Stegostoma tigrinum: one gene and its partners. The protein of the gene in region 1 interacts with the protein of each later gene in a biochemical or structural test. Links are inferred from orthologs where the notes say so. Each region holds a gene or a part of one and is shown on either strand. Other genes may lie near its edges.

Region 1 (7,113 bases):
TTGAAGAGGGAGGGGAGAAAACCCTTAAAAAAAATCCCTTCAGTTTAGGAGCAGGCTATTCGGCCTATCAAATCGCACCAACACTCTATACCCAAAACCTGCATGTCCCATGGCTAATGTACCTAGTCTGCATATCCTTGGACACTACGAGGTAACTTCGGATGCCCAACCCACCCTAAACCACACATCCCTGGATACTGTGGTCAGTTTAGCATGGCCAGTTCACCCTAACCTGCACATCTTTGGACATGGGAGGAAATTGGAACCCCCGCAGACACAGGGAGAATGTGCAAACTCCACACTGACCGTTGCCGGAGAGTGGAATCAGATGCAGGTGCCGAGTGCTCCGAGGCAAGTAGTGCTAAATACGAGTCACCACGCTACCACAAATACTGTGCTTTCTTGTTTCGGCTGATCCTTCGACAAACGGGAAAATTTTCTCCCCTTCAGTCAGATGCGTCACAGTTTTAATCAGATCCTTCTGACAAAAATAGCTCGTAGACTCTCCAACCTATTTCTCATACCTCACTGTCCTTGTGAGTCTCTGCTACGTTCTCTCCAAAGCGTCCATGTCCTTCCTGAAGAGTGGTGCTCGGAACTGCACACGCTCCTCCAGCTGGGATCTAACGAAGTGCCTCAGATATGTTCAGTACAATTTGCTGGCTGTCGTACTCTTATTTGGAACTGAGCTTTGTGGTTCTCAGTTAATGTTCATGAGGGTTTAGGTTTGTTTAAACAGAGCTCCCCCTGATGGTCCCAACTGCTTGTCATCCCAAAGACTAAGATACTCAATGTGGAGACAGTTAAGAACTGAAGATGCTGGAGTCAGAGATGACACAGTGTGAAGCTGGAGGAACACAGCACGGCAGGCAGCATCAGAGGAGCAGGGAAGTTGACATTTCAGATCAGAACCCTTCTTCAGAAATGTACTGACCCTCCGACAGTGCGGCACTCCCTCAGCACTGACCCTCCGACAGTGCAGCGCTCCCTCAGCACTGACCCTCCGACAGTGCGGTGCTCTCTCAGCACTGACCCTCCGACAGTACAGCGCTTCCTCAGCGCTGACCCTCCGACAGTGCGGCGCTCCCTCAACGCTGACCCTCCTGCAGTGCCCACTCCCTCAGCACTGACCCTCCAACAATGTGGCGCTCCCTCAGCACTGACCCTCCAACAGTGCCCGCTCCCTTGGCGCTGACCCTCTGACAGTGCTTACTCTCTCGGCACTGACCCTCTGACAGTGAGGCGCTCCCTCAGCACTGACCCTCTGACAGTAACCGCTCCCTTGGCGCTGACCCTCCGACAGTGCGGCACTCCCTCAGCACTGACCCTCCGACAGTGACCGCGCTCTCAGCGCTGACCCTCCGACAGTGCGACGCTCCCTCAGCACTGACCCTCTGACAGTGACTGCTCCCTTGGCGCTGACCCTCTGACAGTGCTTACTCTCTCGGCGCTGACCCTCCGACAGTGCGGCGCTCCCTTAGCACTGACCCTCTGACAGTGCCCACTCCCTCAGTACTGACCCTCCGACAGTGTCCACTCCCTCGGCGTTGACCCTCTGACAGTGCCCGCTCCCTTGGCACTGACTCTCTGACAGTGCCCACTCCCTCAGTACTGACCCTGCGACAGTGTCCACTCCCTCGGCGTTGACCCTCTGACAGTGCGACGCTCCCTCAGCACTGACCCTCTGACAGTGACCGCTCCCTTAGCACTGACCCTCCGACAGTGCCCACTCCCTCAGTACTGACCCTCCGACGGTGCCCACTCCCTCAGCACTGACCCTCCGACAGTGCCCACTCCCTCAGCACTGACCCTCCGACATTGCCCACTCCCTCAGTACTGACCCTCCGACAGTGCAGCGCTCCCTCAGCCCTGACCCTCCGACAGTGCCCGCTCCTTCCGCGCTGACCCTCTAACAGTGCGGCACTGTATCCTTACACACCTTCCAACTGCGTGGCACTCCCGTCAGTACTATTGGAGGGTCAGCACTGATGGAGTGGGTGCTGTCAGGGGGTCAGTTCGGAGGGAGTGCCTTGCTGTTGCAGGGTCAGCACCAGGGGGAGCAACCACTGTCGGACGGTCAGTGCTGATGGAGCTCCGCACTGTCGGAGGGTCAGTGCTGAGGGAGCGGGCACTGTCGGAGGGTCAGTGCTGATGGAGTGGGCACTGTCGGAGGGTCAGTGCTGATGGAGTGGGCACTGTCGGAGGGTCAATGATGATGGAGTGGGCACTGTCGGAGGGTCAGTGCTAAGGGAGCGGTCACTGTCAGAGGGTCAGTGCTGAGGGAGTGGGCACTGTCGGAGGGTCAGTGCTAAGGGAGTGGTCACTGTCGGAGGGTCAGTGCTGAGGGAGTGGTCACTGTCAGAGGGTCAGTGCTGAGGGAGCGGTCACTGTCGGAGGGTCAGTGCTGAGGGAGTGGGCACTGTCGGAGGGTCAGTGCTGATGGAGTGGGCACTGTTGGAGGGTCAGTGCCGAGGGAGCGCTGCACTGTTGGAGGGTCAGTGCTGAGGGAGTGGGCACTGTCAGAGGGTCAGCGCTGATGGAGTGGGCACTGTCGGAGGGGTCAGTGCTGATGGAGTGGGCACTGTCAGAGGGTCAGCGCTGAGGGAGTGGGCACTGTCAGAGGGTCAGCGCTGATGGAGTGGGCACTGTCGGAGGGTCAGTGCTGATGGAGCGGGCACTGTCGGAGGGTCAGTGCTGAGGGAGCGGGCACTGTCGGAGGGTCAGTGCTGAGAGAGCGGGCACTGTCGGAGGGTCAGTGCTGAGGGAGCGGGCACTGTCGGAGGGTCAGTGCTGAGGGAGCGGGCACTGTCGGAGGGTCAGTGTTGATGGAGTGGGCACTGTTGGAGGGTCAGTGCTGAGGGAGCGGGCACTGTCGGAAGGTCAGTGCTGAGGGAGAGGGCACTGTCAGAGGGTCAGTGCTGAGGGAGCGGGCACTGTCAGAGGGTCAGTGCTGAGGGAGCGGGCACTGTCAGAGGGTCAGTGCTGAGGGAGCGGGCACTGTCAGAGGGTCAGTGCTGAGGGAGCGGGCACTGTCAGAGGGTCAGTGCTGAGGGAGCGGGCACTGTCAGAGGGTCAGTGCTGATGGAGTGGGCACTGTTGGAGGGTCAGTGCTGAGGGAGCGACGCACTGTCGGAGGGTCAGTGCTGAGGGAGCGGGCACTGTCAGAGGGTCAGTGCTGATGGAATACTGCGCTGCTGAACTTCAAAATGCGGCGGAGCACTTCGAGTGTCTTTACTTTCAAGGCTGTGGACCGAGTGCTGACAGTGGGAGCGGACAAAGTTTAGGGTCAGCACAGAGTTGATGGGCCGAATGGTCTCTTTTGTCATGTATCGTTCTGAGATCTGCTCTGCAATTGGGCTCAAGACGGTCATTTTGTATTTATGAAGACTCCCAATCTCATTATAATAACATAATGAAAGTTTTAAACATCTTTCGGGTATTGGTATTTTTCTTGGGTCAAGGGTCAGGTTCATGCGAACTATCTGATTGAAGGGGCACCAGCCAATCGTCAACAGCGCGCTCTGTCCTTGAGCCAATCGCTGATAAAGGTGCGGGCACAAAGCCGTAAGTGGGATTAGAGTGACAGACTGTCGGACCAATCAAACCGCGAACTGGCCGTGGGCGGTGTCCGTTTGCCGAAATCGCGTTTGAGTGGAGGTGGGACAGAGCCGGCTCGTGATTGGGAAGGGGCGGAGAAGGAAGTAAGGGGGCATGGACTTCATTGAGCCCACAAACTCACCGGCCGACCAATCAACTCCAGCTGCATTCTGAGTGGCAGCGGGTTTGGTCAATGGGGAATAGGAATGCCTATGACGACGTGGCCGGATGGCCAATCGAATGGCAGGCACCGTGACGGGGGCGGTAACTTCTCGAGCTCCTCCTGGGCCGACCAATCCAGTTCGTGATTCCTCTCTGCGTGGCTGCAGTTTCGACCAATGGGAGCGAGGGACACGTGGGGTTATTTTATGTTTTTTTCGCTGTGTGGGGACGAATAGACGCGTTGGGCGCTGTCCGATTGGCGGGGCGGTCAGCCAATGGGAGGCGTCCAATCGGGCCCCGGGTCCCGAGGAGTGGCGGCGACGCCAGTCGCGGGTCTCGGCGTTGGAGGGTGAGGAGCTCTGTTTGGTTTCCATAGGAACGGGTTGCGGCCTAGACCGGCACGAACCAAAGACAGGACGATGTCCGAGTGGAGCTGGACCACTGAGTACGCTTACAAGCTGCCCGCCGCCACCATGTGCGAATTCTGCACGGTGATGGACTCGCTGGGCAGTGGCGACTGGAACCGCTTCGGTGAGAGACAGCGAGAGCGCGCACCCTTCTTCTTGATCAGTTAACGCGAGATTTGAGGATCCAGGGTAGCCATTCAACCCCTCGAACCCTGCTGCCCCATTCCAGTGGCTGATCAAGTGGAATTAGGTCGCCCACCTACCTTCAGCCCATTTTACTTGCTGAGCAACGATTTATCTATCTCGGTGCCCCGGGTGATAACTTCTTACGCTTTTCACTCTTATTCCTACATAGAGATGTACAGCATGGGAACAGACTGTCCCACTTGTCCATGCCTATCAGATATCCTAAATAAATCCAGCCCCACTTGCCAGCATTCGGCCCATAACCCTCTTAAACCCTTCCTATTCTGATGCCTTTTAAATGTTGTAATTGTACCAGCCTCCACACTTCCTCTGGTGGCTCATTCCATACACACACCACCCTCTTGTGTGAACAAGGTGCTCCTTAGATCCCTTTTAACTCTTTCCCCTCCCTCCTTTTAAACCTATGCCCCTATACTTGTCACCCTACCTATGCCCCTCATGATTTTATAAGCCTCTTTAAGGTCATCCCACAGCCTCCAACATTCTGGGAAATTAGCCCCAACCTATTCAGCCTGCCCCCTATAGATCAAACCCTCCAACCCTGGCAACATCTATGTAAATCTTATCTAATACCTTTCAAGTTTCACAACATCCTTTCTACAGCAGGGAGACCAGAATTGAACACAGTATTCCAAAAAGTGGCCTCACCAATGACCTGTACAGCCGCAACGTGATCTAGACTTGACAATTAAGATCTGAGTCTAATTCCGTTTCTGGCTGAATGGGTAGGTACTTGGCAAATGCAATACAATGAGGATAAAAGTGAGGCTATCCACTTTGGTCATAAAAGCAGATTATTGTCTGATTTGTGGCAGGTTGGGACAAGGTGTGCTGTTGGCGTGCGGTGCAGCAGGCCGTGAGGAAAGATAATGACATGCTGACTTTCATAACCAGAGAATTTGATCATCAGAGTAAGGATGTCTTGTTACAGGTATACAGGCATTGGTGAGACCACAACTTGAGTCTTGGTCTCTTAGTCTGAGGAAAGGCATTCTTGATATTGAGGGAGTTTGCGTGTTTTGAGAAGATTTGTAGCTCAGGTTGAATAGAAAGCAGGACATAACACCAGCGCTTCACCGGAGGCTCACTGATGATGTTACCTAGAATGGTGATGAAATGTCTGAAAACAAACCTTCCAGCTCAGCGAGCAAACTCACATCCAGATTGAGGGAGTTCAGCAAAGGTTCACCAGACTGATTCCCAGGGTGGCAGGACTGACGGATGAGGCAAAAAAAACTAGGTTAGCTGGGCTTGTACTTGCTGGAATTTAGAAGAATGAGAGGGGATATCATAGAAACATGTAAAACCCTGATGGGGCTGGACAGAATGTTAAGAATGTTCCTGATGATGGGTAAGTCCAGAGCAAGGAGTCACAGTCTGAGAGGGTAAGCTGTTCAGGACTGAGATGAGGAAGAATTTCTTCAGTCAGAGAGCTGTGAACCTGTGGAATTCTCTCCCACAGGAAGCTGTTGGGGCCAGTTAATTAGATACGTTCAGGAAGGAGCTGGATGTGGCCCTCATGGCTAAAGGGATCGGGGGTATGGGCAGAGGGTGGGAATGGGATACCGAAGTTGCATGATCAGCCGTGATCTTAGAGTGGTGGTTCAGGCTTGACGGGCTGAATGGCCTACTCCTGCACCTTTTGTTCCTATTTTTCTAATCCACTGAAAGAGAGTTCCAAACGTTGATCCTGAACAGATTAGGCTGTAATTCCCACCTTAAAACTAAAGAAGCTGTTCCTAGGTACATTAGTATCAGTGTTGGTGCTGTAATTGGTGATGTGAGAACTCTTCACTATACTCAGAGTAAATGCGACAATAAAGGCTGTTTTATTCTATGCCCCCACTTCTCAAATCTCCAACTACTGGTGAGGCCAGTTTTGGAATACTGTGATCAATTCTGGCCTCCTGGCTATAGGAAAGATGTGAAACTTGAAAGGGTGCAGAAAAGATTTACAAGGATTTTGGAGGGTTTGTGCTTTAGGGAGAGGCTGGGTCATTGGACTCTTGGTGGGAGGTGGGGAGGGAGCCTTAGAGGTTTTATAAAATCACGAGAGGTATGGATAGGGTGAACTGTTGAGGCCTTTTCCCCCAGGGTAGGGGAGCCTAAAACTTGGTGTAAATTTTTAAGGTGAGGGGAAAAGTTTAAAAGGGACCTAAGGAGCAATTGCTTCTGCAGAGTGTGGGGAGTATATGGAAAGAGCTACCAGAGGAAGTGGTGGAGGCTGGTACAGTTACTAAAGCCATCTGATTGGGTACGTGAGTAGGAAGGGTTTAGAGGGATATGGGCCAAATGCTGGCAAATGGGACTAGGTCACATTGGGAAATCTAGTCAGCACAGACAAGTTGGACCAAAACGTCTGTTTCCGTGCTGCACATCTGTCTTTAGTGGAATTTAGTTTACCTACTCAGAAATTGCTTTAAAAGCTCAGCTGGTTTGGCAGCATCTGTAGAGAGAGAGAGTTAATGTTTCATGCCCAGTGACCCTTCCCCCTTCAGATGGTTTTATATAGCTGTAGTGAAACTTCTGCATTCTTATACTCCAGTCCTCTGTGTATAAAGGTCACATCCCATTTGCGAAACCATAAATCACAAGAAAAGCTCAATAGATCTGGCAGCATCTGTGAAAGAAAAAATAGAGTTGACGCTTCAGGTCCGGTGACCCTTCATCAGAACTCTTGGTGGCTGGGAAAATGTCTTTTTTTAAATGCAGAAGATAGGAGTTGCGGGGAGGGGGCAAG
Region 2 (7,832 bases), on another chromosome or scaffold:
TCTTCTTCACTGTCCACTACACCTATTTTGGTGTCATCAGCAAACTCACTAACCATGCTTTCTATATTCACATCCCAATTGTTTATTATAGATGATAAAAAGCAGTGGACCCAGCACTGACCCTTGTGGCACACGGCAGGTCACAGGCCTCCAGTCTGCAAAGCAATCCTCCACCACCACCGGCTATCTCCTACTATCAAGCCAATTTAGTGTCCAATTGGCTAGTTGCCCCTAGATCTAACCTTACTAACAGGTCTATTATGTGGAACTTTGTCAAGTTCTTTGCTGAAGTGCAGATAGACAACTCTGCCTTCATCACCTTTATCACCTCTTCAAAAAACTCAATCATAATTTTGCATGCACAAAGCCATGCTGACCTCTCTCTAATCAGTCTTTGCCTTCCCAAATGCATGGAAATCCTGTCCCTCAAAATCCCGTCCAACAACTTAGCCACCGCTGATGTCAGGCTCATTGGCCTATTGTCCCCTGGCTTTTCCTCACAACCTTTCATAAATAACAGCACCACATTAGCCACCCTCCATACTTTGAATGCCCACTGTCATATCTCTCTTTGAGCACCGATCACAGCTGTTGCAGGTGTTCAGGTGAGGTGGCATGCAGCAAGCCTTGAAATGCTCCACCCATCCCTCAAGCTGCTAAGCACAGGGACAGCAAAGTGACACTTACAGTGTATTGAGACCCTCAGACAACGACAGCCAGAGAAAGTCTGCTGCTTGGGATTTCAAGTGTTTTGAAAACAAATAAATTGCCAAATCATCACTTAGGAGCTTGATATTTACACACAGGAGGATCCCACACAGAAATACACAGGCAGAGACATGCATCAATAGGCTGACATTATTAAGGTCACCATAGCCTAGCAGACCAAAGACCTGCTCTCTGACAGGAGAAATGGCTGGTGGTAGCTAAACCTGAGGATCACCACATCTCAGGTGAGGGCAAAGACTGAAAAAGAAATTTCCTTGAGGAACCTCTGCTGGTCCAAGAATTGAACCCACACCATTGGCATCAATCTACGTCACAAACCAGCTGTCCAGCCAAATGAGCTAACCACCTCCACAACACATGTAAAGAGACAAAAAGACAGCTACTCACTGACCCAAAACTGAATACTTAATTAAACCCAGTTAACAGATGCCAGGCTGCTGACTTATGAAAGGTCAAGTTATAAAATGAATTGGAGCATTGGGAGGTTATCGAGTTGATAAATGCATTACAATCTTCCAAGAATAAAACGCTCCTTCAGTGCCAACTCTCCTGACAGCTGTGCACTCCCACAGCACCCACCCTCCGACAGCACTCCCTCAGCACCCACCCTCCGACAGCACTGAGCTCCCATGTCTGGAAGGAGATTTGAAACATTTTTTCAGTTTCAGGAGGAGCGGATGCTCTGTCACTTTAAATCACTGAATATTGTCAGGCTGTGCCCCAGGCGATAGTTATTCCTCAACAAACACAAAATGCTGGGGAAACTCAGCAGGTCCGACAGCATCTGCAGCGAGAGAAACAGAGTTAATGTTACCAGTCTGTACGACTTGTTCATAACTAAATTTCCAGATCCAGACCTGCTCAGTTCCTCCAGAATTCTCTGCGCCCGTTTTAGATTTCCTGCATCTGTGGGGCTTTCCTTTCGTTTGACAGCTATTCTGGCTTCTCACCAAAATCGCCATCACCCAGGGAGTGGGCAGTGGCTGATCATTACTTCCCCAACATCCTCAGCTGCCCATCATAACAACAGCATCACCAAGTGAGTTCATCTTCCAATTTGAAAGAATAGGCCAGTACAACTCTCCACTGCGCCAGCAGAGGGAGCAGTGATAAGGAACCTGGTTTATTCCTTGTGTATGCACGTCAGGTAAACACCACGTATCTACACAGCAGGGCAGCAAAGAACCCAACGTTTTTATGTGATGTTTGGCATGGGGAGCATTTACAAACTAAACGCTGCCGTGGGTTCCCTATATTGGACAGTCTCTGCTGAGATTAGCTGATTGGTCTCACTTTACCATAATTCACTAACTTTTCATGCTACACATCAAACTCTAAACTAATATTCCTTGAGAAGGCCAGACTCCAATTGAAATTAGAATCTAATTAAAGAGAGCTTAGCCAACATTTTTCATTTTCTCAAAGCCGAAACATTTCAAACAGGAATCCCTCTAGAGATAGACAACATCGAAAAGACTGGCATTGCCGCAGCACATTGTTGGAGCAGCAGATCTCTCGACGTGCTGTACAGCCAAATCAATGCTTTTGAAGTTAATCACTGTTGTAATATTGGAATCAGACCAAACAATTTGTGCACAGCAAGCTCCCACAAACAGTAGTGAGACAATTACAAGATAATCTCTTAATTTACTGGTTTTGACAAAAACGCCATAGCATACTCTCCTGCTGTTCTTCATAATTAATGTCAAACAGTCTTGACATCCACCAGGGTCTAACTTTCTGAGCGGCGATCCCTCAGTGCTGCCAATCTTATGCAAAATATCGGGTTCGGACTTTTTAATTCAGACATTTGCTCGCTCAGCCGCCTCATACTCCCAGGCTGACTGTACAAACAACATTAATTGTCTGCAGGCAACTGCTCACACCCCGCTGCAAGCCCCTACCTTGAAGATGCTGTAATCATTCTCACACAGGTCCTGTCTGCCGGCGTGTTTCCAGGGAATACGGAACATGGTTTTTTCTTTATTCAACCAACGCAGTCCATGGTAACTGCCGCTGTTAATCTGAGCGATTAACCAGGATCGGAGCTGTGGTTTCTGGTTGTTCATTCTGTAACAGATTGGGACAACGCTCTGTGTTACAAACACGGTGTAGAGCAAAGCAAGATAACGAATTCTGCAACAGTACAAGGTGCAGATCAGACATGGAGACTTGTCCCCAGTAAATACATTCCTGCAAGAGAGAGCGTGTCACCTCTGTTTGCCCATTGCAGAAACGACAAACATCAGGACATCGCTCTGCTTTCAATTCAACGCACCCTGGCTCTGCAAAGCTCTTATATAGAGGTGTGGGCCGCTCAGAGACGTCACATGCTAACAGGGAGCACCACCTTCTGTAATCCAACCCCCACCATAACCTCACTTTACAGGCAGAGTTCACGTCTGTCCCCACCCTTCTCCACCCCCGCGGTTTGTGGTTTCATCATCTCACCACGGCTCAGAAAGCCCAGCACCAGCCTCCATCCTCATACTTGGCGCGCGTACTGTCATTTTCCAAATATGGCAAACCTGTTTCCTTTCCCTGAAATCACGTGGAATCCAGTCGAATTTGTAAGCTCAGTTATTTCTAAGTTTCACTTTCCATTGTTGCGCTGTTAGCCAAACAGGAATTGGCGCCAAACTTCGAACATAGCCAATTCTGTTCAAATAAAAAAGGGAAAGCCCTTTCATTTTGCAAGGCTTTGGGAAATTTTGTTTACCAATGAGTGAACATTATCAGCAAGTAATTTGAAGATGAGCAAAACCCAAGCCCTCTGTATGTTTCCAGGCCCTGAGAGAAATTCCTCTTCCACAAACTAGCCCTTGGACAGCTGTTTGAGTGTGTCACTTGCACTTGAGTAACTCACCAAGTCTCCTCCAACCTTTCAAATCCATAACCTGTAAAAGTAAAAAGGCAAGGGCTGCAGACACACAGGCACACTGCCAAACAGTTTCGAATGGTTCCTCAATGATCTTCCCTCCATCATAAGGTCAGAGGTGGAGATGTTAATTGATGTTTGGAACAATGTTCAGCACCATTTGCAACTCTAGATCCTGAAGCAGTCCTTGCCCATAGCCCCAAGATCTGGGTAACATTCAGTTGAGGGCTCATCAATAGCTCATAAGTGTAATGAATGTGCCACTGGAGTAGCAGGCGAAGTTCATGTTGCAAGAAAACTGAACCTCCATTTGATATTCAGAGGCAGCACCATTTCTAAGTTCCCCTCCATTAATATCCTGGGACTTGTCATTGACCAGGAACCAGAATGGACCAGCCAGATAAATAAATGTGGCTACAAGATCAGACCAGAGTCTGGGGATTCTTGCAGTAAATAACTCACCTTGTGATTTACAAAGCTTTCCATTGTATAAAAGGCACAGGTGAGGAACATAATAGAATGAAAAAATCAACCCAAAGAACTGCAGATGCTAGAAATCAGAAACACAAACAGAAATTGCTGGAAAAAACTCAGCAAGTCTAGCAGCATCTGTAGAGAGAAAGTAGAGTTAATATTTTGGGTCCAGTTAACCTTCTCCAGAAGCCTGCTGAGTTTTTCCAACATGATAGAATGACCCCCACTTGATTGGATGGCAGCAGCTTCAATAACACCCAGGAAGATTGACAACATCCAGGAAAAAGTTTTCCACTTGCTCAACATCCCCTTTCACTGCCTTAAACATTCACTCCCTCCATGTGCAGTGCATAGCGGCACATAATTTTCCATCTACAGGTGACATTACAACAAATCACCAAGTCTCCACAGGCAACATCTTCTAAACCTGTGCCCTCAATCACCTGGAAAAACAAGGCCAGCAGTAACATTACATTGCAACACCACCATAGCAGGCTCCCTGCTGAGTCACGCACGTTAGAACTATATCAATTTTCCTTCACTATTGTTGAGTCATAATCCTGCAACTTGCTTCCGAGCAGTGTTGTGGCAATACCCTCATTCCAAAGGCAAAGCGTTCAAGAAAACAGCTCAGCGGTACTTCTCAAGAGCAATTAGTGGGGGATGAAAAGCGATAGCTTGAACAGCAATGCTTTTTTTTCTCAGGAACACATAAAACAACACTTCCGTGCTTGTCTCAGTTGTGGGCGCCCTTTCTTAGCTGTGAGTTAGAAGGTGTGGGTTTCAGTCCCACTCAAGGGCGAGAGTAAAACAATCTGGGAGATACTCCAATGAACGACTGAGGGAATCCTGCATTGTAGGAGGGTCAGTGTTGAGGCACCGCTGCACAGTCAGGGTGTCAGTACTGAGGGAGTGTTGCACTGCCAGAGGATCAGGACTGTGGGATTGCTGCACTGTCAGAGGGTCAGCACTGTGGGATTGCTGCACTGTGAGAGGATCAGTACTGAGGGATTCCTTGGAGTGACAGCTGCACTGAATTGAAGGAGAGCTGCATTGTTGGAGGGTCAGTACTGTGGGAATGTTGCACTGTTGAAAGGTCAGTACTACGGAATGTTGCACTTTTGGAGGGTCAGTACTGTGGGAATGTAGCACGGTTGGAAGGTCAGTACTACGGAATGCTGCACTTTTGGAGGGTCAGTACTGTGGGAATTTTGCACTGTCAGAAGGTCAGTAGTACAGAATGCTGCACTTTTGGAGGGGCAGTACTGTAGGAGTGCTGCAGTATTGGAGGATCAGTACTGTGGGAATGTTGCATTGTTGGAGGACCAGTACTGTGGGAATGTTGCATTGCTGGAGGACCCATACTGTGGGAATGTTGCATTGTTGGAGGATCAGTACTGTGGGAATGTTGCTTTGTTGGAGGATCGGTACTGTGGGAATGTTGCATTGTTGGAGGATAAGTACTGTGGGAATGCTCCATTGTTGGAGGATCAGTACTGTGGGAGTGCTGCATTATTGGAGGATCAGTATTGTGGGAATGTTGCATTGTTGGAGGATCAGTACTGTGGAACTGTTGCATTGTTGGAGGATCAATACTGTGGGAGTGTTGCATTGTTGAAGGATCAGTACTGTGGGAGTGCTGCATTGTTGGAGGATCAGTACTGTGGGAGTGCTGCATTATTGGAGGATCAGTACTGTGGGAATGTTGCATTGTTGGAGGATCGGTACTGTGGGAATGTTGCATTGTTGGAGGATTGGTACTGTGGGAATGGTGCATTGTTCGAGGATTAGTACTGTGGGAGTGCTGCATTGTTGGAGGATCAGTACTGTGGGAATGTTGCGTTATTGGTGGAGCTGTACTGTGGGAATGTTGCGTGGTTGAAGGATCAGTACTGTGGGAATGCTGCATTGTTGGTGGAGCTGTACTGTGGGAATGTTGCACTGTTGGAGGATCGGTACTGTGGGAATATTGCATTGTTGGAGGATCGGTCATGTGGGAATGTTGCATTGTTGGAGGATCAGTACTGTGGGAATGTTGCATTGTTGGAGGATTGGTACTGTGGGAATGTTGCATTGTTGAAGGATCGGTACTGTGGGAATGTTGCATTGTTGGAGGATCAGTACTGTGGGAGTGCTGCATTGTTGGTGGAGCTGTACTGAGGGACCACTGCACTGTAAGTACTGAGGATGTGTTGCAGTGCCAGTGGTGCAGTTCTGAGTGACTACAGCGCTCTTGATGGGCAAAATGGAGAGAGTATTACACCATTGAAGTAGCAGTCTGTCATTGAATCTTTAAACTGAGTCCTCTTCTGGAGGATAGAAAAGCTTCCTTGGCACTATCTTAAAGAGCTGTTATATTTCCCCAGTATTCCAGTTAGTATTTATTCCTCAATCAATAGATTATCTGGTCATTATCACATTGCTGTTTGCGGGATCTTACTGGACACAAATTGGCTGCTGCATTTCCTGTGTTATAACAGTGACATCATTTCACCGGCTGCAAAATTCTTTGAGACATCTAATGGTCTTGAAAGGAGCTACTGAAGTGCAGTGTTTGTTCTCCCTTTCACAGACATCCTGTGTTCAATTTACTTTTTCACTCTGTCGCTTGAAATTAGTGCTCTATGTTCTACATTATATGTTCATAGAAAATACAAAATCTGAAAGAAATAAATTTTCCACTGCAACAGATGAGCAGGAATTACTTTCATTTCCCTGTCATTTCTACTTTAAGAATTACAAAAAGGAGTATTGAAGAATGCTGTATTGACCTCAGAAAAGTAGAACTAACAGACGTTTCAGCCAGTGTGGGAATTCCCTTACATCCAATGCAAGTGACAGTGCTGAAAGTCAGGACTTAATGCTAGAACCCAGTGTCATTTTGTAACATCAATGTCCAGTACATAATACTTTTGCCAGTGTTGGTAGCCAGTTGTCATGTTCAGTGTCAATACCTGTGTCAGTGTCAGTACCAGTGCCTAGGACCCAGTGTCAACATCAATAATCTTCAATAAAAGTTGTGTTGGTTACAAATTATACCACGGAACCCAGGATTTTCATATGAACAAGGACTCTGCTTGCAGGCAAAACTTTGGGCGGAACTGATTTTGAAATGCAGTAACAATTGCACAAACCAGGACTCTAACAAGCTGCCTGCCTCATTCCTGCCAGGTGAGGAGGGCTAATATCAACCCTTTGCTTCTTAATGTGGTCACTGGATGGGATCTAATAATCTGAGAGCAGATAGTTCAGAGCCACTTGCTGCCACTGGGTATCTGAGTACTGAAGCAAAACCCTCAAGTCAGAGCCGTAGGGTCAATATATGTGCATTACTCATTGTAAGTACCACTTTGACTCCATGCCCTGTACTGAATGCCATCAGATGTCCTGCCAATGCATAAACAATGGTGTTGTTGTTCTGTGCATAATGTAACAAGAAACTTTGCTCATTCTACCCTGGTTTCTCTCTGTCAGTACCTGCTTTCAAAACATCAAAACATCACCCAATGCTAAATGTTCCATTATGTATTTCTATAAATATCACCTTACAATCAGATAAAAGACCTGCTGCTGGTTTCAGTCCAACATAAGCAAATAAACATTGGATGACGAAGACAGTAGTGTGGTTACATTAACTGGTGACTTAGTGAGCTGACTGTTTCAGTAGTCAGCATAAATGTATTTACAAAATGTCGTGTCTGGGTAGCTGGGCTGAATTTATAAAATGATAACTAGGACAGCCATTGAGAGT
Region 3 (7,868 bases), on another chromosome or scaffold:
TTAAATAAAAGAGAATGCTGCATATACTTCACAGGTCTGGAACAACTATGGAGACAGAAACAGTTCATGTTTCAGGTTAAAGACACTTTTTGACAAACGCTTTCAGCACGTGCAATACTTCTCTATATCAGCTGGAAGTTGATTCACCTACTGCAATCCTTAAAATTTCACTATTAAAGAAAGTTTAAAACAAAATCAATACTTTTTAGAACTATAATAAAACTGGACACAATGAAATGCAGGACAGTTAGCACAACAAAAAAAAGTCATATTATGCATATTATGACAGCAGTAGAGGCCCATTCAGCCCACTGTAAATAAATAAGGAATGACAATAAAATTGTTCATCGTATTTCTCTTCTAGCTGCTGTACAGAGGTGATCATACCATTCGTAAATCTACCAGTTCTGAAACCACATTGAGTTTCAGGATGGATGCATTCAACCAGGATTTACAGTCTGGCAAGAGCAACACTTGAAAATACTTCTCCCACAAGGAACCCTGAAGAAGGATCACATGGTCAGAAACATTAATCTGCTTTCTCTCCACAGATGCTGTGAGATCTGCTAAGTCTTTTAAGTAATTTCTGCAGCCATCCTTGTTCTCATATACATTCACAATCTTTGTATCACGCATCCTGCAGCACTGCCTTCTCCCTCCAGCAGCAAAAGAAATCCACATAGAAGCTGCAGAAATGCTAGGTTCCCATGCTCAGTGAACTCGGCATTGCCAACTGGAACTTCGACCGTGGTAAGTGAAAAACAGCTTTGTTCAGCTTCTGTGCTGTGGATTGTGGTCCATCCCTGCCATGACAGGCCAACTTCCTTCAGTGACTGTGTTCTTCCTACAGTACAAGTCAAGGTAATGTTCCACCCATCTCTCCAAATGTTTAAAGCATTTTCAACAGAGCAGTTTTCTTTGCTGGTGGACCTCTTGACTTTCTGATTCCATCAACCATGCCTCTGACCTTCCTAGTGTTGAAGGACATGGAATATTTTGGCAGTTGTACCCAGTAGTCTTTGGCACAGTCCCTCGAACTTTACTTTGAGCAGCTCTTACTGGATTCAGAGTTTCTCACTTGGATCTCTCTTGCAATTAATGAAAGCAGACTGTTTAGCTTCTATGATGTATTCTGTGACAATGGTTTGAAGTTAACATCAGTCAGCATTTTCTACTCATTTCCCACATGATGACAGTGCATAGTGTCTTGAAGTATGCCCCATTTTGCTACTTCGCTCTGTGTGGGAATGCCAGACAGTGCCTGTTCTATTAAGTAATGGAACTGTCGGTTTTTGTTCTGGGTCAGCAGTATGACTGACATTGATACAAGGACAGCATTCCTGCTTTGAATGGAAAATCCTTGAGGGTTGCAGCCTCATCGTGGTGCACAAGCAGGGAGTGAACTGTGTCACAGTCAGCTTTGTGGTAGCAGCCTGTGCTGGGAATGCTGCTCAGAGTCATGTCTGGTGATGATCAGATCCAGCTGGTCCCAATACCCTGAACTCAGATGTCTCCAGACACCCTGTGACATGGCTTGATCTAAAAGAAGGCGTTAGTTACACAAAGCTAATTACAAAGATCAAGTAATGTCTTCCATTCTCATTTATTTTTCCCAGACTAAAGTGTCCAGTAGGAGGGGGCCATACCTCCAGTGATTCAGGCACTGGGAAAATTGGAATCCAGGCTCAGCAGGTAGCATGCTCATCCCTGAATCATAAGGATCTGGGTTCAAATCCCACTCCAGGTTTTCAGCAAGAGACTGACCTTCCAGAGGAGCAACTGAGGCAGTGGCAAATTGAGACCGTCGCCTGATCAAACAGATGTAAAGGATCTTGGCCTGCTGTGTTCATCCAGCTCCACACTTTGTTATCTTGGATTCTCCAGCATCTGCGGTTCCCACTATCTCAGATGTAATGGATCTCATCGCTTCTTCAAGAAGATCAGTTATCCCTAACTGCCCGAACCACCCTTATTAGCCATAGGTGGATATCCTATGCTGGCTGAAAAAATAAGATACCCAGACGGATCCCATTTTACCAGCACTGATTCTTAACCCTGAGGTTCTGTGAATTCAGATGAATATGAGTTGAGGGTTTCTGCCCCAGTCTGTTACAGACCCTACCACTCTCTCGGTGAAAAATGGTTTCCCTTAAGCCTTCTACTGATTCCTCTAAATCTGTGCTGCCACCCCACCTCCCCGCACCCGCCTGAGAAAAACAGGTCCTATTCTCGCAACTGCATAATAACATTATGTGGTTATAATTGTTTGCTGTTTGGGATCTTGCTGTGCGCACGCTGGCTGCCTCGTTTCCTACGGAGAGGGCTACTACACTTTAGAAGGCATTCCGTTGACTGCAGGACTCTTCGACACGTGATAAGCGCTATAAAAATGCAGGTCTTTTTAATTCGCTTCTTGCGGCCGCTGTGAATCGTTAGGCTTTTTACTCAGTCCCGATACCGACTGGATCGGAAGCTCGCTTCCCCAGCGCAGCGCCGTCTGTGGGTGCCCGGAATCGCTGCTGTTTCTCGGTGTGGACAGTGTCTCTGGCCCCGGGACTGGAGGCGCCTCTTTGTGTGGAGCAGCAGCCGGAATGTGCTCTCTACTTCCCACCTCCCCCCCACCCCCCACTCCCCACTCCCCAGCCACACACAGGGGGCCAGCTGGAGACAGAGAGCGAGAGAAACACACACACTCACAACCGCCTTGTACAACCCCACACACACACACAGTACTGTACAAATCACTGTCCTCGTCACATAAAGCCAATCAAGAAAATGAAAGCTTCGCTCCGAACATGGGGCTTCAGCTCGGAGCCGAAATGCAATCACTAAAATTCCCAACACATCCAGGCTGCAACATCCCGTTCTCCCCCCCGCCCCCCGAGAAAGCTACAAAACAACTTTCTCTTACCAGGTTCGGTTTTGCTTTGTGTGTGGCTGGTTTCTTTCCTTTCTGGTTAATGCGCAAACCCCAGCCGCTCGTCAACTGAAACCTCCGGGACTGTGTCTGCCTCCCTCGCTTTCCTGCAACCAGGCTCTGCCTAACCCCTCCCTCTATCCCTCCCACAGCGGAGCCCGAGTCAGCTTCAGCGGACAGCATCCTGGGAGCTCTAGTTCACAGAGTGAGCCAGCTCCCCATTTCCCCCACCTCTCCTCATCCACCTCTCCTCATCCTCCCTCCTCCCGTTCAGCCCATTTGTCTGTACCAGCCCTCCAAACGAGCATCATTGCCTAATACCAATCTCCTGGTTTTCCCCCATTTCTTGCACACCATTTCATCGGATGGCCTCTGCAATTCCTAACTGAACCTGCCTCCACTATGATTCCAAACAATACTACTCACTGTGTGAAAACCTCTCTGATGAAGGGTCTAGGCCCGAAACGTCAGCTTTTGTGCTCCTGAGATGCTGCTTGGCCTGCTGTGTTCATTCAGCCTCACACTTTGTTATCTTCCTCACATCACACTTGCTTCTTTTGTGGTTCTTGTTAAATGTAGGCCCCTATACAACTGGAAAGGGTATGTAGTGTATCGAGCTCACTCATAATTTTGAAAACCTGAATGAAGTGTCCTGTTAGCTTTCTTCTCTCCAAGGAGAAATGTTACAATTTAGATTCATAGATTTACACAGCATTTTATCAATCTAACCTCATCACTGAAGTTTCTCACCCCTAGACCATTCTTGTAAATTGTCCACTGTATTGGCATCTTTATTATAATGTGACACCCACAACCGTACACAGTACACCAGCTGAGGTCCTACAAGTATCTTGTACAATTTCAACCTCACCTCCTCGCTCCTGTACTCTATGCCCCTCTTAACAAAGCCAAGGACACTGTGTGCCTTACTTGCTGTTCCCTCTATTTGTTCTGTGCACTTAGACAACCAGGTTCCTCTGCTCCTGCACCTGTTTAGAATTGTACCCCTTATTTAAGTCTTTCAATGTTCTTCTGATCAAAATGCATCACTTCACAGTTCTCTGCATTGAACCAAACATGGCAGCCATCTGCCCACTCCGAGTCCACATTTTTCCGCAGTTCTGCACTACACTAAGGCCACTCACCAGAAACTGCAAGGAGACTTCATGATCAGAGAGATTATGAATTTATCACTTAAAGATAGAAGGGGAAATTCCAGACAAAACTGATTCACAATCATCTGAGTGAGAGGTACAAAACACAGACAAGATTCTTGTCTTCACAAACAGAGGCTTAATCTGGCATGCACTGACTGAAAACCTGGGGAAAACACAAGCAGGAGCAAAATCAAAAAAGAGAATTGCAGGTACTCCTCCGATAACGTGATAGTTGCATTCTTGTGTGACCTCATGCTATAGATAATCACATTATGGGGAAATTGCTAAAAGAGAATCTCTTTACCTGTATAGTAGAAAGTTCGCTTTACCCGAACAGTGTACACTATTTATCAATTGCCTTACAGCCAATTTGCATTAATATCTGTACATTACATAGAATTAAATAACATTTACAGCTCGAATGGGCCACTCAGCTCAACTGGTCTGCGCTGTTTACTTCAACACTAACCTCTTTCCACCCCTGACTGATTTGCTCTGTCTGCACTGAGATAACCATTAGTAAATCAGTCCCCTTGGGCTAGACTGACACATGGTTCACAGGTAAGGGCTGAGCCCTGTCCTGAGGAGGCTGTTCCCTTATCATGAATTGTCTCCACTTTGAGACTGTTGTATCTCTGCCTCTATGCCACCAAACTCTTTTACATTACACTGATCCCTGTAACACAGCCATCTTGCATGGATTATTCCTTCCTCACAGAATCACAGTGGCATGTAACTGCTGACGTCAATTTTACAGCACTGTATCCATCATTATGTTATTAATATGTGCATTCTCTTTCTGCTCCAATTCCTACTTCTCCATCTGTCAGTTGTCCATGTATTCCTTTCTCCCAACTGTATTTTCTAAACATCTCTTTATAGGTGTCAATTCTATTTATATTGATCACTTCCTCTGGTAAAGATTATTCTCTGAGTACAAACTTTTCTCTTGAATTCCCAGTTGGATTTATTAGTGATTGTCCGACATCACCGTTTACATTTTCAAAGCAGAAATGTTCCTCTGTATCAGCCTCATTCTTTTGTTCATTACATCACAGTCTGTGGAATTCTGCTCCAAAACTACTTTTCCTCTTAGTTTCAGAAACTATTTCAAGTTTTTTTCCCATTGATGGCTTCCTTGTTTTAATCACCTTGTTGAGCATACTTGAACTGGAAGTGCACATGAGAAAGAGAAATAGGAGAAAACATGATGGAATTGAATTACAAATATGTCACCTGCTGTCATATCTATTAAAGAAAAGGACATCTTTGCTTTAAAATTCTGCACATTGCTTCTAAGTGAAACACGTCCGTTCAAGTTGGAGGCCAAAGTAGACTGTGTCAGTTAAACAGTGGACTGTTTCAAAGCCAATTGAACAGTGCGCCAATCTCAAATAACAAAAGAGAGACTCTTAGAATGCATCTAGACCTGGGCAACATGACAGGTCCTTCTAAAATGCAAAGTAGTGTTTCCTGCCTCAATAGACATCAAAGTAGGGGAATTTGAATCTTCAACTATGGCATGTAAAAAGCTGTAACAGTCATAGTCAGAGAGTCAGACAGCATAAAAACAAACCCTTTGGTCCAACTTGTCCATGCCCACCAGATATCCGAAACTGATCTAGTCCCAACCCTTCCTATTCTTATACCCATCCAGGAGCCTTTTAAATGCTGTAATTGTACCAGCTTCCACCACTTCCTCTGGCGGCTCATTCCAAACAGGCACCACCCTCTGTGTGAAAACATTGCCCCTCAGGTCCCTTATAAATCTTTCCCCTCTCATCTTAAACCTATGCCCCTCTAGTTTTTGACTCCCCTGCCCTGGGGAAAAGACCTTGGCTGTTCACCCTATCCATGCCCCTCATGATTTTATAAACCTCTATATGGCCACCCCTCAGCCTCCGAGACTCCGGGGAAAACAGCTGCACCCTCTTCTGGAATACTGTGTCCTGTTCTGGTCATCCAATTATAGGAAGGATAGTATCAGCCTCTAGAGGATTCAGAAGAGATTTACCAGGATGTGGGAAGTGGCTGGAACGTCCCCCTTTCCCAGAATGTGAGTAGTGGCTGGAACATTCCCCTTTCCCAGGATGTGGGAAGTGGCTGGAACGTCCCCTTTCCCAGAATGTGAGTAGTGGCTGGAACATTCCCCTTTCCCAGAATGTGAGTAGTGGCTGGAACGTCCCCCTTTCCTGGGATGTGGGTAGTGGCTGGAACATTCCCCTTTCTCAGGATGTGGGTTATGGCTGGAATGTCACCCTTTCCCAGGAGGTGGATAGTGGCTGGAACATTCCCCTTTCCCGGGATGTGGGTTATGGCTGGAATGTCACCCTTTCCCAGGAGGTGGGTAGTGGCTGGACCATTCCCTTTTCTGGAATGTGAGTAGTAGCTGGAACATTCCCTTTCTCGGGATGTGGGTAGTGGCTGGAACGTCCCCCTTTCCTGGGATGTGGGTAGTGGCTGGAACATTCCTTTTCCCGGGATGTGAGTAGTGGCTGGAGCATTCCCTTTCCTGGGATATGGATAGTGACTGGAATTTCCCTCTTCCTGGTGGGGGTGGTGTGGGGCTCAGTAATGGTGGGTTGCTTTGCAGAGATGACAGTACCAGCAGGCAGCAGCAGTAATGTAACGGTATCAGCTGCTTCGACATGCTGGGCCCAGTGTTGGGTTCGAGTCCAGTTTGGGAGCCAGCAGGTTGAGCAGTAGCTGCATTGCCAAGGTCGGAACAGCGAGAACTCATGGAGGTGATGAGGTGGAGGCAAGATGACACAGAGGAACGGTGAGCTGGTTCCAACAGCAATAACACAGCTCCAGGACATGGCTAGGCTTGGGGTACCTGATGGTGGAGGTGGTGTTCCAGCTGCATGCAGGGAACTCCTGGCACTGGGGTGTTCTTAGACTGACAGATGGACTTAGTGATTTTGTTTTTCTGGTGGTGAGGACACACGGTGCAGGTGAGGGCGTGGTATGAACCTTTATTCCTCTGACGCTGCCTGGCCTGCTGTGTTCCTCCAGCTCCAAACTGTGTTGTCTCTGACTCCAGCATCGGCAGTTTTTACTAGCTCTGACAGGAATGTTTCCTTTTCTTTTGGCTGTTTCTTTTACTTCTGCTTCTGTTCTTAATATTGTCTTTTGTGTTCAAAGATGGAACCAGAGAATGGTGACTTTGTACACTTTTTATTGTACTCCTGTAATCCTGAACTTAAGTACATGTGACAATAAAATCTAAATCTAAATCTAATTCTAAATCTGAATCTAAAAGATGCATCACAGCTGTTGGATCTGACTTCAAATAATAACCTCTTCATTTCAGTAACAAGCACCGACAGTATGCCACAGGAACTTAAAAAACCAAAGTTAAGAAACAGAAACTACAGATAAGACAGAGTAATATTTACAAGTGTTCTTTTCTTGTTAATAAATTAATGTCTTTTTTTCAAAGGAACCTTTAACAATAGCTTGACATAAATTAACTGTTTAAGTAAAAGCTGATTGCTTTGACTTGAATCATTATAAGGTAAAAGGTACATGAGACACGTTAATCCACAGGCTAGTGGCCTGCATGATGAACATACCTATTGGTAATGACAAGTGGATGAATTGGGAAGTTTCTAAAAAGGGCTAGAATAAGCACAATGGCCGAATGAGCTCCATTTGTGATTAGGGATTCTCCCAGCGTGACTGAGAGAGGAGTCCTGTTCTCCTGATGACTGCAATTTACTTTCCTAAATGCAGTCATTATCCAGGAATCCAATGAAGTGACGCAGAACAAAATGAATGGGTGCAGGGAATTG

Evidence for each region.
Region 2: the proteins of irak1 (region 1) and irf7 form a complex in vitro, tested with the Homo sapiens proteins (2 studies listed by BioGRID, with this or other methods). The link is inferred for Stegostoma tigrinum from reciprocal best matches to the Homo sapiens genes IRAK1 and IRF7.
Region 3: of the proteins of irak1 (region 1) and E3 ubiquitin-protein ligase pellino homolog 1, one has a biochemical effect on the other in vitro, tested with the Homo sapiens proteins (5 studies listed by BioGRID and IntAct, with this or other methods). The link is inferred for Stegostoma tigrinum from reciprocal best matches to the Homo sapiens genes IRAK1 and PELI1.

Annotation. Positions count from the first base shown.
Region 1 is NC_081402.1:3,446,197-3,453,309, reverse strand, and holds the start of irak1 (interleukin-1 receptor-associated kinase 1), read left to right. Parts: upstream 1-4,068; 5' UTR 4,069-4,178; coding exon 4,179-4,290; intron 4,291-7,113.
Region 2 is NC_081370.1:35,411,669-35,419,500, reverse strand, and holds the start of irf7 (interferon regulatory factor 7), read right to left. Parts: upstream 3,018-7,832; 5' UTR 2,976-3,017; coding exon 2,944-2,975; intron 2,800-2,943; coding exon 2,634-2,799; intron 1-2,633.
Region 3 is NC_081362.1:1,841,726-1,849,593, forward strand, and holds the start of E3 ubiquitin-protein ligase pellino homolog 1, read right to left. Parts: upstream 3,037-7,868; 5' UTR 2,912-3,036; intron 1-2,911. UniProt on the Homo sapiens protein: E3 ubiquitin ligase catalyzing the covalent attachment of ubiquitin moieties onto substrate proteins. Involved in the TLR and IL-1 signaling pathways via interaction with the complex containing IRAK kinases and TRAF6.